Drosophila melanogaster: one gene and its partners. Changing the gene in region 1 together with any one later gene gives a genetic interaction. Each region holds a gene or a part of one and is shown in the gene's direction. Other genes may lie near its edges. The genes, in order: velo, pira and Ulp1.

Region 1 (4,939 bases):
AAATGAGGTTTCTTTAGGTTTTGCAATATAAAAACATTTATTAATTTGCTTACTTACTTTACCCTTCGCAGAATGCCAACAAACCGAAACCACAACCCCGATCCAAGCTGCCACCGGGTAATCCCACGCTACCAAGTGCTCCTCCGGCATTGGACTTCCCCTCGCTGCCCAACGTTCCCAACGATCTGCCAGATATTCCGGGCGCAGGTGCCGAGAAGAAGAACGACGAGGATGAGATTGATTTCGATGACCTGTCACGTCGCTTCGAGAACCTTAAGAAGCGAAAGTAAAGCTGGCCAGCAGATCACCTTTTAAGTCTACAGTATATTTGTTATAATCTCTGTCCTGTTCTACATTAATAATCACGTATATGTGTAAGGAACTATTGATCATTTTGTTTTTTCGATTAAGTAGTTAATCAGACTTCAAAAATGTATAATCTGAATTGAAAGATGGTTGACCTATTGCTTTTCATATTCGCAATCTTGATTCATCTAAAAACAGCCTAAAGATTAAAATACTAACAGATTAAATTCTGTGTACTTATCAGCTTTATGTTTCACATAAATATCAACAAGATTACAAAGAAAAACAAAAAATTTTAAAGGGATTGTATTGCCTAGAAGAGTTCCTCGCTCTCCACCACTTCCTTCAGCTCGAGCAGCTCCAGCAGTCCCTTACCCTTCGTTTCGTTCCTTACCAGCTCATCAATGACACGATATTGGCCAGGATCTATGAGCAAGGTTAAGTGCAAGGTGGCCTCGTCCCATTCCTCGTGCTCCACTGCGTTGGCCAACTTGACCACCGATTCCTTGAGCTTGCCACCGCCCTCCTTTCCAGCAAAGCTAACGCGCAGCTTCATGCGCGACCTCTCGATGGGCATATGGTCCTTGAGAATCTTGATGGCCTCCAGTGTGTTCTGCTTGGTGTTCCTGTTCATCTTAACGGAGAAGTGGGCATCCTTCAGGGATTTCTCGATGATGGAGGCGGGATATGGACGACGCGTCTCTGGATTTACACACAACGCAGCCACGGAATTAACTATACTATTTAGTTGCGTGTCCAGACAACTTTGGCGCTCCTTTTCCGACACCTGCAGTTCTCCTTTGCTGAGGATCTCCTTGCAAATCTCAGTCTCGTCTGTTTTATTGAAGGCCTTTTGCAGCTCGTCCTTTTTGGCCGCCTGTCCTTTGGAGACATTGGTGAACACGGTATGGGTTTGCAGGACCTCATCGATGTCCTTTTCGCTAAGCATATACAATAAAGTAATTAGATTTAGGTAAAGCCTATTTCACAATCTGCACGTGTTGCATTTAGCGGCTGTTACCTGTTGCTCCTCCACGAAAGAACCTTATTTTTATAGCAGGCGATCTCAAATCGCTTGCCACCTTTTTTTAGCCTCACAATGGCGACATTTGTGAGGCGTATTTGATTTGTGGGCGTGAATATTTTGGACATTGTTGTTAAAATACAAGCTGCGGAATTAGCGATGTGCAAGTAAACCAAAACACTTTCGATCGAACCAAACGATGAATGGCAAAAAATCAAACATTTATATATCCCGTAGTTGTGAAATCATTGAAATTTCCTTTGATGTACAGTTTGATAAAAAATTTTGTTCACAATATACAAAACTGCATAACAGCTTTCTATTAAAAACATACTTATAATATATATATTTAGATGGATTTTATTTATGTATATTTTTTTTGTTGAAATTTTTTTCACCGCTACCCACAATTTTCCGAGCTATCGAGTTTTTCTACTTATCGACGTTTTACCATCACAACGACGTTGTTGTTGTTCCTTCGCCACTCTTCTTCTTCTTCTTCTTCCTCACCCAATTCGCCAGAGCGCGCAGCAAACAACAAAACACATAGTGCTCAAAACCGCGATATCAACGGTCGCTAAAAATCGTTATCAATCGCCTTTCGCTAAATAACAGCATAATGTGCAACAAAATCATGGAAATCACCGAAACAGCGCGTTCAGTGCGAAAAACTAAAGATTTTAAGACAACTCCAGTGGCTCGACCGTTTAGTGGTCCCTTTAAACTGGCTACATGCCAAACAGAGGGACCTCTAAACATTAGGCGAAGAGGACGGCACAAGGCAGACATCGATAAATCAGCGGCCCAAAGCAACGCTGCAAAATGTTTATGAACAGCTGATGGGCCCGCCAGGGGGCGCTCGCGTTTCGTCATTGCCAGATAAAATAAATATCAAATGCTGCCTTTAATGGTGAACGCCATTTTTATTGCAAGAAAGAAAGCCACGGGTTTCAAGCAAAAACGCGAATAATTAACGTGTGTTTATTGTAAAAAGACAGCGCGATTATGATCTAATCAAAGAACAACTGGATCGAGCCGAGGGCACAGCGATTGGCTCCAAAAAGTTCCCATTCTCGTAAGATTAACGGAGGTGTGTAGGTTGGGAATGCCAACAAAAAAAAAATTATGCTCAAAAAGTGACCTGTAATTGTATAATAAATGTGCCTTAAAAAAGTTAAATATATTGCAAAATTACATAGGAATTAATTTATACAATTGGTCAACCGCATATTGTACAAGTTTCTGCTCGGAAAATGGTAGAAATCACATTTTTCTACTGCGATTTTGTGTGTGTGTTGTTCTTGAGGGCTCTGTAAAAGTCTCAAAAATGCAACGCCTGCAAAAAAGAGCAAAAATTCTCACAAAAGTGACAAAACTTGTTTGCATTCTTATTTAATTTTATACTTTAACACTTATATTCCTTACCGAGGTTATATTAAAATAAATGTGAAGGAATTAACGATGTCCTCATACTGAGACGCAAAAATATAACCTTAAAGAGTACACAAAATGTTTAAGTATCTTAATTATGCTACATACAGTGCAAAGTTTAACCAGTTAACGTTTTCTTTATCTAGGTGCATTGTTGTTGTAATGTAATTTAATTAAAATATATAATACGACTTATAAGAAATTGCATATAATTAAAAAAATATTCCAAAAAGAAAACAAAAAAATGTAATTGAAGAAAAGATCATATTAATTAAAATTTAACAGTACTTTTTGGGCCTAGGGAATTAGTGAAAAAATAGTATATATCTAAAATTCTAACTGATTTTCTACCCCTTCCAGCTGCCTTGAAATGGAGCAGTATATTGTGCCCCTGGAGGAGCCAGTCTACTCTGATTTGCAAGTAGTGCAAGTGCCCCAAGATGAGGTTGGGGTGAGTAGTATCCGAAGCCCTCGGTGAATAGCAAGCTAATTTCTTGTTTCTTTCAGTCCCTGGTCCTACAGGATGACCAGCAGCTGGTGTTCAACGACCAGCAGCAAGTTGTCTACCAGACGACGGCCCCAGCGCAATATCAACAGCCCCAGCAGTCTGCGGCACCCACATACCACATAATCGGTGGCGATGATCTTGCACATCAGCAGCAACAGCACCAACAGCAGCAGCAGCAACAACAACAGCAGCAGCAGCAACAACAACAACCGCAGCAGCAGCACCAACAACAGCAACAACAAGTTGTAATGCATCATCAGCAGCATCAGGTGCAGCAAGTGCAGCAGGTTCACTATCAGCAGCAGCAACAGGAGCCCCAGCAGCAGCAGCAACAACTGCACATGGAGCAACAGCAGCAGCAGCAGCAGCAATATGTGCAGCATCAGCCGCAGCAACCCGCCATCCAGCATACACAGCAGATTTACTACACTTCAGAGCAAGTCCTGCAACCAAATGCCATTGTGCAGCATATGCAGCAGCAGAAGAAGCAGCAGCAAGTGCTGCAGCAACAGCAGCAGCAGCAGCAACAGTATCAACAACACGCACCCGCCTACCAAGTGCAATCGTCTCCCCAAGGGCAAGCCCAATTACTTCAGAGTTCCCAGCAGCAGCATCAGCAAGCGCAGCAGGCACAAACGTTGCAACTGCAGACGTCGCCACCCCAACAGCAACCGCAGCAGCACCAGCAGATCGTCTACCGCATGACCACCACACAGCAGCAACAAAGGCCCTTAGGGGTAAGTTAGGTTCCAAATAGCCCTGTATTTATCTTTCACTTGAAACATATTGATATCGATTTTCCAAATCCTAGATGCTCAACAATACGCACGTGATTGTCCAGCAGCAACCGGTATTGATCCAGGGCCCACAGCATCAGGAGCTGATTATGCGACAGGCCATACATCCGTACAACAATCGTGTAGTTTATGCCACTTCACCGCAACAGCAGCAGCAGCAACAACACGTCATCCAGCAGCACGTACAGCAGCAGCAAGTGCAGCAGCATCAGCAAGTCCAGCAACAACAGCAGATGCAACTGCAGCCCACGACTCAAACAGCCCATTTAGTTCAGGCTCGTGTGGTGCCACAGCAGACCCAAAATGTTGTCTACCAGCAGTTGCAGGTGCAAAAGGTGCAGCCGCAGCAACAGCAGCAGGCTCCACAGCAGCAGCAACCGCAATTGGTGGCTCAGCAGCAGCCGCAGCTAGTGGCCACCTCTGCTGCCGGTGGCACTCAACTAGTACGCGCCTCGTTTAGGAAATCGCCCCGAGGTGGAGCTGTGCTGGCCAGGCCGGGCACACTAATTACCACCAGGCCTACACTTACGCCCACAACAATTGTGCGGCAAGTTCGTCCGCGAGGAGGTGCAGTGCCCGGCGGACTGGTTAGGAATATGCGACCTGCGGGCGTACGACCCACTCGAGCGCAGTTGGTGGTGCAGACTAGCGCCAGCGGCGAGGGACAGACCATGCTAGTGACTCAGGGCCAAATGAAGCACATTACCATCAGCACGAATCTCGGCCAGCCGCAACAACAACAGCAGCAGCAGATGCAGCAACAGCCGCGCCACATCTACCGCACACACATGGTAACCGACGGAAATCCTCAGCAGCAGCAGCAGCAGGCGGCGCAACAGCAGCCGCAGCAGCACCAGCAAATGCTGATGATGC
Region 2 (5,531 bases), on another chromosome or scaffold:
ATAAATAAATGCAATTTTCGCCAGCTCCGTTTTGTTGTGGACAAACCTTTACAATTAAATTAAACAATTCGAATTTAATACAATTGGCGGCTGCGTGTGGAATTCGCTTGACACACCAACAACAAATGAATGCTCACTTTCTTCGTTTCGGCTTTTGTTTGTTGTGGATTTTAATAAAAGCGACTACTTTTTATTTCGATCTATTTCGTATGCAGTTATTTCGATTCTTTTTCTTCTCTTTTATTTTTATTTTCTGCTGCTGCGGCGACGACACAACGCCGACGTCGACGGCGACGCGAAAACGACGTTGCGCTGCGTTTGCTGAGAATTTCCGTTACCGGCGTTCGAGCGACTTTCGTGGCAACTAGCGGTACCGAAATATCGAAGCTAACATCGATGCATCGATGTTTTTATCGATTTTCCGAAACATCGATGTCTATTTTTTTTTTTCATCGCTATTCGAAGACTCAGAAAACGAATTTCTTCAAATTTAAATTTATTCAATTTCAGTTATTAGCATGCAATCTTAAAATTGTATATGCATTTTCAATTTGTAGTGGAGGCCAAAAAATTTCCGATCAATTGATTTCCGACAAACTTATGTTTATCAATACCAGTTTAAGATTATGCATCTGAAAATATATCTTATTTTTTTTAATTTTATTATATTAATATTTGTTTTATATTAAATTACAAAAAAATTAAATTTAATAATAAATAAATGTTCTTTCTTTTTCAACAAGTGTAAATAAAAATATTATAGTCTGCAAATATCGATAGACGGCTAATTGTTGGGTATCGATAGCGAGCGGTGTGTGCGTCCGCGCTGCATGGAGCTGGCATTGGGTTTGAGTCTCAGCTTTGGAACTAAAAAGCATGAACTAAAAACATCGTTTCGAGAATTAATTGAGAATTAAATATTAAAGTCCCGCGTATTTAAAAAAAAAATAAAGCTGTTAGTTAAATATGACATCTTCTCTGCGAACGGTTTGGTTAGAGCAAACAAAAAAGTTTATATGACTACAACGAAAAATTCAATTTAATAAAGAACTAACGGAAAACATAGCATAAGTTTTTCCCGAAAAATATGATGTACTCAGCTGGATATTTAAAAATAGAGCAGGCTTGTTGTATTATTTACATATGCATTTTCCACGTGCTTAAATGTTAAATATATTTTAAATAATATATATAATTAATATATGCATAAGAAAAAACAATTCGAATAAAAATATATTTTGCAAAATATATTACTGCAGCCAGCACAGATATGACACTATTTAGTAAAGTATATACAGTAGTAGTAATAGTAAATTTGTAAATGTAAAACAAAAGCCAGTTTCCAGTTGCTTCACATTTAAGGAATTCGACTTGGCAAACTTTCTGACAGCTAACAACGTTGTGATTTAGATGCGTTTTTCCGCACTTGGCAACCGATGCAAATTGCGAAATGGAGCCCTTTGGCCCGCGGAAAGGAAAACGTGTGTGTGTCTGTCAGTTGTTTTTTTTTTTTTTTTATAAATACGCTCTTGGCAAAAAACAAAAAAACAATAATATTTTTGTTTACATTTGATTTTCTTATCGCCGCCAAGCGATCCATGTGGTGAGAGGAGCTCAATGCTGACGACTAAAAATCGGACAGGTGGACCCGATGACGGACGCACAACTATAATTTGATTAATGTCTGTACTTGTATTTGCAAAATGTTGAAATTAAAACGAGAATAAATTTTTGGTTTTTAAAAATTCCCATACAAAGAACTTGCAACAAACGGCTGAACTTATAACTTTGTAAATACCACATGTAAGAATACTAATACTTGTAAATGAAAAGCAAAGAACTTAGCTTAGCTAAGATTCGCTTAAATGCCTATATTTCGTCAGTTCAAATATTATTTAATTTCAATATTCGCAACATTCAAATTTCAAAGCGGACTATCGATACATATTTTTAAAAACACCCCACAAAATCCATACCAATTGGAAACATATACATATGTATCGATATGAGCAGCAAAACTCCGATGGCGATAGCAACTCGCACAGATGATTTTTGGATACAGCACTTGGGACGCCGTTTACCCCAACAATAAAAATAGACAGATATCAAATATCGCATAAAACACACAGATTGGAAAATGAAAGGAATATAGTGATCAAAGTCACCGTGTTAGGTGACTCTTCAACCATCCAGTTAACTTTGCACATCAAGCAGCCCGAGAATTTGCAATCGAAACGAGAAACTTCAGTTCAGTCAGATCAGCCCATATAACGTACATATGTTATACTATTGAATCCGGCTCCAAAATGGATCGCAAAGAAACTGTTTCGAAGGACCAAGCGGTACGTCGAATTGCCCATAATGACTTTATATTAGTCTCACGTCAATTGCTGATCAATCGAGCCGACACGGATCCGGACAAAGGAAGTGCCAGGATGTTGATTATCTACAGCAGTGGAAAGCAGCACATCGTCACCTTCAAGCTGCCGAATCTTGCGTGTAGGGTGCAGGATCTGTTTTTCCAAATGGACCTTCAGATCGATGAGAGCACCACGATTGATTGCATTGAGAATGCCGGCGGTATTATCCATTTGGTTGTCTCTGTGGGCTTCCCCATCAGTGATAACATTGCCGAGACGGTTGCCCATGCGGAGGAGTTCTATAGGAAGGTGCATCAGTCAAAGGCATCATCGGCTGATGCCGCTCCACCCAATGCGATGGCCGGTGAAGAGCACTCCCCTGCGGTTGTCAAACCATCAGAGACTGCGGTGGCCAACAATGGTTGCCAGCCAGCTGCAAGTGCAACCAAAGGCAAGAAGCACAAGAAAAGTCCTTGCGGGAGTCCGGGAGAAAACAATGATGGCCAAGTGATATTGTCGGCGGATCAAGACGCCAATACTAATACCAAGGCCAAGAAACAGAAGAAGTGCCATATTGCAAAGGATAACAATGGAATTCAAGCTGCTAGTTCTCATGACAACCCTAGTTCATCTGGCAATAAACAGGGAAGTCACAACTCCACGGCTATAACCTCCAATTCTACAATGACGAGTAATGGTCTTCGGGGCGTGCAACCAGCTGAAGATGCTCCCGCAATCTCCCAGTGGATCCAGTCGAGGAACAATGCCGCTGTTAGCAAGAAATCGGAAGAGACAGCTGGTGGATCTCAATCGCGGGTGCAATCGAATGTTGCATCCATATCCTCGCCAGCGGTGAAAGCAACTAGCGACGCTGCTATACCCACACCAGCAGAACGCGCAGAGCGTAGTCGCCTGCGCCGAAATCGCAATTGGATACTAAGCAGGGACGTTGATGAAGATGCCGTGGTGCTGGTGAGCAGCGGTGATGAGGAGACCACCGCCGCCGATGATGGCCAAACCGAGAGAAGACTTTCACCCGATGAGAATCAAACCCTTTTCACATATCCGCCAACTGGTACCGGTGGCCTGAGCATCACCATCAAGGACTTTATGTGTCTCAGTAAAGGATCGTATCTGAACGATATAATCATTGATTTTTATCTGCGCTGGCTAAAGAATAACATCATACCAGAGGAACAGCGCGATAGGACGCATATCTTTAGCACGTTTTTCCACAAAAGATTGACCACACGAACGAATCCCAGAAATACGAAGCAGACGGCGGCCCAGAAGCGTCACGAAAGGGTTGAGAAGTGGACACGAAACGTCAATATATTCGACAAGGACTTCATTATAATACCATTCAATGAGCAGTCCCATTGGATACTGGCCATTATATGTTATCCAAACCTTAGAAGCCCGGTGGTAAACAATAATAATGTGCAGACGACACTCAGTGATGATATTCCCATCAAACAGCCGTTGATACTTATTTTCGATTCGTTGGCAGTCACCTCAAGACATCGAGCGATTGCCATATTGCGGGATTATCTCACCTGTGAGCACAAGGCCAAGTATCCGAATGCGCTGGCGCATGTCTTTAACAAGGATAATATGCCCGGTCATAGTGTGGAGGTGCCGCAACAGCAGAATCTTACAGATTGCGGCCTCTATCTGCTGCAATATGTGGAGCAATTCTTCACAAAACCCATCAACGACTATACACTGCCCATTAAGGAGCTGAGCAATTGGTTTGACCTGCTCACAGTAACCAAGAAGCGTGAGGATATCGCTAATCTCATCAAGAAGCTTATGAATGAAAGCAATCAGCAGCGCAAAATTTTGCCGGTCATTAAGTTTCCGACATTAAATGGCCAACTGGTGATGGATGAGGAGGATAGCGAGGAGGAGAATTCTAAAGAGGAGCATAAAACTACGTTGGTTTGTTCAAAAGACAGAAAACCGCCGAGGAGAAGGAATACACTCAAATAAACCACTTGTGAGAGAAGTGAAAATACATATATTTTCTACAAAACAACTGAACTGAAGACGATCGCAACGCAATGCTTTGGAACACTAGGAGGAGCAAATTGACACGGCGGAGATGGGTTCACCAGAAATATACGTTTTTTCCCTCAAGGAAAAGTTTCATACACACATACAATCACCAAAAAGAGCAGTTCAGCCAACAAGACGATAAAGAGGCTACCTACTGGAGAGATAGAGACAGAGACAAAGACAGAGATCAGGATCACAGGATGAGCATGTTAGGCAGGACGAGGTGGATGTCAGGAGTTGGAGAATGGACAAAAATCAAGAAAAATTCAAAATTCAGAAAGTCACCAAATGAATAGAAAATATTTTAGAAACAAAATTTGTAAATAAAATGCGACAATAAAATTTGTCACGCATAAGCAAAGCTTTATAGATTGCCAAAAAATGTACATATGTATGTATGTACATAAGTACATAAGTTGCCCCGCGCGGTGTTCATCGGCCATTTGGGAAACTGCAGGGTATTACCAATCAGCATTATACTCGACTCTAAGCCCACACACACACCCACACGCAAGCACACACACGCGAGCGCAAACACATGGATCTCTTTGCATTGGTGTTGGGGTTCGGCGATAAGAAAATCGAGCCATAAAGTCGCGCCGGCGATTCTATAGACGCTCAGTTGCTTTGGAGCGATTCTTTGATGCAGACGAACATCGGAGTTTGCGGATTGTAATAATAGAGCCAAGCGGAGAGAGCGAAAAAGACAGAGAGAGAGATAGAGAGCGAGAGCGAGAGGGAAGGCACCAGCGAATATCGAGCATAAAGCAAAGCCCGCAACACGTGAAACAGCCAGCAGCCAATTGATTTCAATTTCGATTCTTAAAGTGAAGTGACCAACAACGTGCGATTAACGAGATGTCCACCACCACAACAGCATCCAGTAAGTTTATCCATCGCCAAGGTTTCCAAATAAACAATTGTTGTGCCTAGAACGTAAATAGTACCAAAGCTACCATCTTTTATTCGATCTTTCATCAATAAAAGACAAGCTTAATGTGATGGAAAGCAAGACAGTTGTTTATGTTTTCCCGCCAGCCTTGGATTTATTTAAACAGTTATTCGGGTTACTCAAAAAAATAAAACAACGGAATATTTTCCTGGTTCTGATAA
Region 3 (7,795 bases), on another chromosome or scaffold:
GGCGGAATCCGGCCACCACCGAAATGGCCACGCCCAGTGGTGCCGTCGCCGCCGCTGTGGTGGTGGACACGCACAGCAACTACATGCTGGCCACCGATGAGGCGTATGTGACGTATGTGAATCCCAACGGGGTGGAGATTATGGAGATCATACCCGAGGAGGACGAGACGGTGTCCATGATGCGGTCGAGCAATGCGACCATCGACAATTATGCCATGTCCGCCTCGCAGATGTCGCACAAGTCCCTGTCCAATGGACGTCTCTATCCACTGACGCCCCAGCATCCTTTGGGCACAGGAACGGGAACTGGTACAGGTAGCTCCTCACCCCTACCTCCCGATTATGCCAACCTGGTGAGTAGTGCGCAGGCTTTGTGGAATATGGTGACCGGATGTGAAACCTTTCCGTATGCTCCTCATTTTCAGCGCCGCATCCGGCGGATGTCGCGTGCGGTAACCACGCACCTGTGGTGGAATCTGCTGGACAAGATCGCCATGCCGCTGCAGCAGGCGCTGCTGGTGCCGCAGCTGTACGCCACCACGCTGCTCCTCTCGGCGGACATCTTTAGCTACGTGATGTGCCTGACGGTGCTACCCGGACTGGCGGTCAGCCACCATGCGCTGAAGAACGCCGAGATCCCGTTCCTCTTCTCGCTGCTGGCCTTCCCATGGATGTGCTTCTCCCTGATGACTCCGCGCTTCGGCACGAGCCTCTATAAGCGGAAGCTCCAGTGGCACACGCTGGGCAGCATCTGCAAGTGCCTGGCGCTGATCTGTGAGTCATGATACCCGTTTCAAGCTTTCCCCGGGCCATCAATAGATCCATCTTTTGTTTCGCTTCCAGTCATCAGCTTCTCCACCTCCAAGCTGCTGCTCAGTGTGTCCGCCGTGCTGCTGGGATTTGGCCAGGTGGTGACCGCCTTTCTGCAGGAGCTGGTCTTCCAGATGGGCATGACGCGGGCCAACTGGACGGCCATCCGCCGTCCGGTGCACTTCACCAACGGCCTGCTGGTTCTCCTCTGGGGCGCGCTGGCCCACTGGGTGGTGGAGCGGTACTCCTTCCAGGCCACCGTGGGACTGGCCGGCGCCCTTTACGGAACTACCACGCTGCTCTGGAACTTCCTCTTCTTCTGCTGCCAGAGCAAGGATTGAGGGACTGAAGAATTCGCGCACTCTCACACAACAAGGCATCGTGTATGTGTGTGTGTGTGTGTGCTGCTGTGGCTGACGTTGTTGTTGTATTTGTGCAGTGATATTAATAAATAAATATATAAACTATAAGCAAGCTACATACATTTTAACATAAGTCTTAAAAGTCTTATTACGTCAATTTGAAAAAAGAATGGAATGCTGGCCTTTAAAATATCCCTAAAGAACTGCTACAGAAGTAGCTATAGCCTTTTAGCTATTTTTCCATTAAGCTGTGCTGACTACTGTACTTTGGAAATGTGGACAGTTTTTTTCCGATTAAAATAAGTTTAAAAGTATAAAATGTTGCGTTCATTCTAGAGATTGGTTCAATTTTTTAGAAATCTGTCGCACACTAAAAAAAATGCATGTTCTTACAAAATTCGCTGTGTAAGAAATATTGAAAATATTGAAATATTATTGGAAAATATTGACGAAAAATTTCCCTTTTCACCGAATTTGTCGTATTTTTACAGTAAGACTAAATGCCGTTATTTCCTCAGATATTTCTAGGTAATTACATTCGCTGCGTGACGAAAGCTGCCTGCTATGATGCGGCAGCCAGACCCAACACTGTTGGCCGATATCGATTGGTTTGGTATTATAGAGCAATATCTTGTACGGTCATACTAAGGCACCAGTACGCCAAAACCGAAATTTTCTTTCTTTACTCAATTTTCATCGAGCTAAGTTGCGAAAATTTTCTCAAGTCACAGTGAAAAGTGTACATTGTTTAAAACCTGGCCAAGGGGTAAGTGTTTGTTGCAAGGCGCTTGTGGTGTGGCACTCAGTGCGGTGCAATAGCAGCGTCGGCATTTTCCGGCGGCCGCAGAAGTGGCACCAAGCAAAGACGGCGAAAAACAGCGAAAAATGCGCAAAATCGGGCTTCCTTTTTGCCGGCTCGTTTTCCTTTTTTGCTTATTCTTCTTCTTGCGATTCTTGAAAGCGAATGCGTGTGGAAAAATAATTTCTGATTAAATTTCAATTTGCAGCTAAAAGTAGCGAAAGCGGTAGCGAACACACGCATGTCGCTGCCTCCCGAGGACACCGATTTGTCCACAAATTCCGCATACGAATCCGCACTCCAAATCGCGAGCAATGTGTCGGCAGCACGAGTAGTCGGTTCGGCAGTAGGACAGCGATTTTCGCCGTCGCCAGCAGCTCACCCGAACGTGATTGAGCGCGTCGCGTCTCATGTGGACTCACGCCGCAGCACGTTTCCAAGTTGGGGTAATCCGTCAGTAGCGCCAAGAGGATCGGAAGAAGCAGCAGCCAACGCCACAGCAACACAACTCCTATGGGCGGAGAACCAAGGTCTCCCGACATCGCACTTATTGCCAACTGAACAGGCATTCGAGACATTGAACACTAATGCGTATTGTTCCCCGCCAGGGGATTCACGATTTACGTTCCCTAGCCAGAACTACTCGCCGCTGCTGCCGCGGTGTGTCCCAGTTCCGAATCAGCGTTACTCTCCAGATGGATCGCCAATACATCAACTCCATGAGCTGCAAAATTGTCCATTGATAGATTCGCCGATAAGACTGCGATTTCCATCCCCCTTGCCAGAACCACCATCACTACCGACCATCACCCTTACAGTTGATGCCCTGATCGATCTTGACCAAAACAACCAGGTCGCATATTATGTCCAGCAGTACAACAATCAGCCAGTCCTATATCAACAAAACATTCATATAGGAACGGGAATCCAACTATGCGATCAGGCCTCCGAGAATAATCAACCGATTATATTACATATCGTGGAGCACAATCCCCAGACTATAACTGAGAGCCAGGAGCAATTCCACCAGGTTGTCCCCGAAATTCAAATCAATAATATCCAGGAGCAAGATCAGAAATTTGAAAATGGCATCTCGGAACAAAATCATCCGATTGCAACTGAGGCTCAGGATCAGACTTTAACTGAGATCCGGGATGAAAACCAGATTGTCCTTGCAGTCCAAGAAAAAAATCTCACGCGTGCCTCTGAGATTCAGGACCAGAACCAACAGACATTAACCGAGATCCCAGAGAAATGTCTTCAGATTGCATCTCCTGTCACTACTGATATACAGGTACAAAGTCCTCAGGTTGTAATAGAGATCCAGGAGCAAAATCACCAGTCTGTAACGGAGATCCAGGAGGAAGTTCACCAGACTGCCCCCGAAATCCAAGTGAACGTTTTCCAGACCTCGTCTGATATTCAAGGGCAAAATCACCAGATTGTAACTGAAGAGCAAAATCATCAGACTATAACCGAGACCCAGGAGGATTACTCGGCTGTCTCCGAAATCCAATGGGAAAATCTCTCGTTTTCTGCTGAGATTCAGGAGCAAAACCAGCAGATCGTAACCGAAGTTACGAAGCTTGCATCTCCTTCTGTTACTGATATACAGGCACAAAGTCCTCAGTCCGTAATCGAGATCCAGGATGACGATGATGAAGATCTAAAGTTCGAATCTGATGATCTGCACACTATACCTGAAATCCAGGAGAAAAACCAACAAAGTCCTCAGTTCGTAATCGAGATCCATTATGATAATGAAGATCTAAAGTTCGCATCTGATAATCAGGAGCAAGATCAACAAACAGCCGAGCTCCAAAAGGAAAGGTTCCAGTTCGCATCTGAAATCGAGAAGCGAGATCTGCAGATTGTTACTGACACTCACAAACAAAATTATCACAATGTAACCGACATCCCGTTCGCAACATACATCCAGGAGGAAAACGAGCAGTTAACACCGGAAGACCAAGAGGAAGATCAACATTACCTGAATTTTGAGGGGAACCAACAATTCCAGCTCCAGAAGCAAGATCAGCTGAGTGTACCACAGATCCAGAAGCAAACCCACCAGTTCGAATCTAAGGTCAAAAAGAGAAAGTTGCAGCCCTTTTCTGAATACCAGCAGAAAGGTCAGAAAGATCATATCCAAGAGAGGCAGTATATTCAGCAGGAATTCACCATCCACTCTAACCAGGCTTATTCTAAGGTCCAGTATATACAAACTATACAAACTGCGACTCCGTACGTACCTCAATTGGAAATATCCCAGGAAAACAGTTTTGAGGTTCAACCAGCATACGAGGTAAACGAAGGCCAACGGGACAGAGAACTGGTTAGTTACACAGGCCACGAGCATCAGAACTTTGTTGATGAGGTCTCGACACCATTACCGCCCGCTGAAGCTCAACCAGGATCTACTTCAGAAGATATATCAGACCCCGTTTCACCTGAACATTGGGAGCAGCTAGAGTCACTCGATCCGAGCACTATTTGTATTCGCAAAACCTTCAATCTAATTCGCGATATCTCTGAAAGTCTGGTGGCCGATCCAGAGCAACCCGAAGCCGAAGCCCACCGGAAGTCAATTTTCCTTCTCCGCCAGAAGCTAGCCGATGTGTGCCATAAGGTTCTAACCGAAATTATACACGGCCGGGCCACCGATGAGATCATCTCCATTCTGAGAGAGATTCTCGAGCAAACTAAGGAAATACCTCCACGCCCCACGCCGAAAAGAGACCTCCAAGAAGACATTTCGATGGGCTTAGAAATATTAAAAAAGATCCGTGGTATGCTATCCGGTTGGTATTCTTCCAGAGAAAGCGAAACGGACTCCACGGATACCGGAACGGGATTCCAGGCTCAAAACGGAAAAGGTTTTGGTGCCGGCCGCCAGCCGGAAAATAGTTTTTTATCCCAGAAAAGACGGTAAGCATTAAGAATTTTATGTTATTTTTAATTTTGTTTACCTAAATCCAACTAGGTAAGCCTGCGCAACAATTTTATGTCATTCATTGCTACTCCCATGTAAAAATTTCAATTAATGTTTTTTCTCTACTTTCAGCAACCAAGAAGAGAACCCTCGTCTGATCAAGTACCGGCGTGTGGACAACAGCTTTCCCCGCTTGATAACGAATGAGACGGCCGAGGACCTGATTCCCAACAATTCGATGGCCAAGCGGGATCAGCCCCAGAGCTCAAAGCGGCTCTCAATATTTAATCCGCCGGTATACACGCAGCACCGAGTGCGCAATGATGCCCCCCACGTACCTACGCCATTTGACGATGAGGAGTCGTCACAGAGACTTGCTAACGCGGGCCCATCATCCAGGCCCATGACTTACTCGGATGCGGTGCGTCTAGGCCATAATGGCATCTCCGAGTCGCGCGTAAATGGGCACTCCAGCCATACGGTGCGCAGAGAACCGTCTCGGCTGCACAGAAGCATTCTGTCCCACGAGATGAACTGCAAGGATCAAGAGCAGTATAACGAACTTATCCGTACCCAAACAAATTACGTGGGCAGTCGCTACCTCAAGCCGGGTACCCCGCCAACGTTTCAGCGGGCTAAAGCCCAGTCGGCAACCAGTAGCAGCTGCTCACTGCAAGACAACCAATCGAATATAACAGATTCGTTCCCGTCGCCACATGGCCGTGCGAACCCTGAGCTAACGGAGTACGCCAAATTGATCAACCGCCAGGAGAATGAGGAGAACAGGTCTCCGGCACCACAGCAGCCAAAGCGAAACGCTAGCAATAGCTCTGCCAGCCATGCGTCCACTATTTCCAGCAGCGCATCTTCCTCCTGCAGCACTTGTTCAACTTGCTCATCTTCTGACACTGAGCCAATGTTGGTTAAAGATAGCCCGGAGGTCAAGGAAGCCAACGAAGCCAACGAGGCCAACGAAGCCAACGAAGCCAACGAAACCAAGGAAAAGTAAATAAATGCTTTATATCCAAACGTAAATAATTTGCAATAATCAAAAATCCTGATTTTATCACCAATTAGTGACGCACCTCAACCTACAACTACCAGAATCAAGAAACCAGACTTCTTGCACCGTCGCTTTGCCAACTGTATCTTTCTAAGGAATGACTTTGCGGAAAATTTCAAAGCAAGAGCGAATCGCCGGCAACTTGAATCCATGCATCTTCTTGGAATAGCTGAACAGCAGTAAGTATTTGTAACGCTATAATTAGGCCCAGTACCAAGAGGCTTTTTTCCAATTTTAGGGCTAATGAAAGCAAAGATGAACGCCTTGCCTATGAAAAAAAGCTGCGGGAAGTCATGTTCCGGTCTGGTGCTCCCCACCGGCCCTTTTTTGAAATCGGGCCCCTGGAACAGCCGGAAGAGAAGAAAGAGACCAAGCTCATTCCGCTAACAAAGGAGGACCACGCTCGCTTTCAAGAAATGACAACTATTGAGGTTACGACGGTAAACGAATATATTTATTTATTTATATGTGTACCCATTTAAAACGTTTATATGCTTGCGCTTTAAAATCTTATTTCAGAACTTAATTTTCAAATATAACCTACAAATAACTACCGACGACATATTCACGTTTGTTGATGGCGAATGGCTTAACGACGCGATCATCAACTTTTACATGTCCATGCTGACGGAACGCTCGGAGAAGCGAGCTGGCGAACTTCCCGCCACTTACGCCATGAACACATTCTTCATGCCCCGTCTCCTGCAAGCTGGGTATGCAGGCGTTAGGCGCTGGACTCGCAAAGTGGACTTGTTCAGCAAGGACATAATACCGGTGCCAGTGCACTGCGGCAACGTCCACTGGTGCATGGCCATCATACACTTGCGTAACAAGACAATCTTCTATTACGACTCAATGGGAAGACCAAACCAACCGGCGCTTGATGCTCTAGTTAAATATCTGCACGAAGAGTCACTAGACAAGCGCAAACAGCCGTTTGATATGACCGGTTTCGTTGTCGAGAACGCGCAGAATATACCACGTCAAGGGAATAGCAGCGATTGCGGTGTCTTCAGCTGCATGTTCGCCGAGTATATAACGCGTGATGTTCCGATTACCTTCTCCCAGGCGGAAATGTTGTACTTCCGCACGAAGATGGCCCTGGAAATCGCCGACGGAAAGTTGTGGCAGTAGGGGTTCAAGCACAAAACTACGCAAAAATGGAGAATTCAGTTCTTTACTTATTTTTACAAATCTTACGTAAACACTCCAAGCATGAATTCGCGACAAGTACTTAGCCATCGAACGAACTCGTTTATTCGATAGAATCGAGATGGCTGAGACCCCTGCTGGTGCATTAACTTGTTCTCATATCTGATTGTAAAAGAGAATCTATTTCTTCAATAAAATGTCACCAAGTAAAAGCGATGCGAATAAGGATGTATTAATCGCCGAATATCTTCAAGTTTATAATTAATATTTAGAATACAGCAAGCTATGAATATGTACTAATGTAATGTAATGTACTGCTCTAATCCTAACTCTAAACTAGGAATTACTGGATTTCATATTTTTTTCTTACATTGTCTTTTCTGTTTCATATCGTTAAGTTGAAAAGATCAGAGCCGCTGATAATTGAAAATCATACTAATACTCCAGTTTATTTTTGAATTTATCGGTTTTTTTTTTTTTAAAGAAAATGTCGCTATATTCCTATAAATTAGATAATATTAATAAGGAATCAATCTTAATTTAGTATTTTTGAAAATGTAGCTTATTCAAGCAAATACTTATTATACAAATATAGGTAAATGTGGGTTAATGGTATTAGTTTTGTTTTTGTAAAGATTTTCTCTAACCCTTAGGAAGTAGTACACCTTTCATAACCT

Evidence for each region.
Region 2: of velo (region 1) and pira, changing one suppresses a phenotype caused by changing the other (phenotypic suppression), as found in Drosophila melanogaster (one study listed by BioGRID).
Region 3: of velo (region 1) and Ulp1, changing one suppresses a phenotype caused by changing the other (phenotypic suppression), as found in Drosophila melanogaster (one study listed by BioGRID).

Annotation. Positions count from the first base shown.
Region 1 is NT_037436.4:6,749,626-6,754,564, reverse strand, and holds the start of velo (veloren), read left to right. Parts: upstream 1-1,812; 5' UTR 1,813-2,420; intron 2,421-3,121; 5' UTR 3,122-3,131; coding exon 3,132-3,212; intron 3,213-3,268; coding exon 3,269-4,006; intron 4,007-4,080; coding exon 4,081-4,939. Other genes in the region: Ist1, read left to right, coding at 72-290; SBDS ribosome maturation factor, read right to left, coding at 620-1,247, 1,328-1,458.
Region 2 is NC_004354.4:12,760,119-12,765,649, reverse strand, and holds pira (pirate), read left to right. Parts: upstream 1-2,038; 5' UTR 2,039-2,306; coding exon 2,307-4,352; 3' UTR 4,353-5,008; downstream 5,009-5,531. Other genes in the region: PAICS bifunctional enzyme, read left to right, coding at 5,277-5,301.
Region 3 is NC_004354.4:19,202,177-19,209,971, reverse strand, and holds the start of Ulp1 (Ulp1), read left to right. Parts: upstream 1-1,784; 5' UTR 1,785-1,938; intron 1,939-2,179; 5' UTR 2,180-2,212; coding exon 2,213-4,899; intron 4,900-5,035; coding exon 5,036-5,908; intron 5,909-5,980; coding exon 5,981-6,145; intron 6,146-6,204; coding exon 6,205-6,406; intron 6,407-6,485; coding exon 6,486-7,100; 3' UTR 7,101-7,795. Other genes in the region: CG14195 (uncharacterized protein), read left to right, coding at 1-353, 426-774, 844-1,151.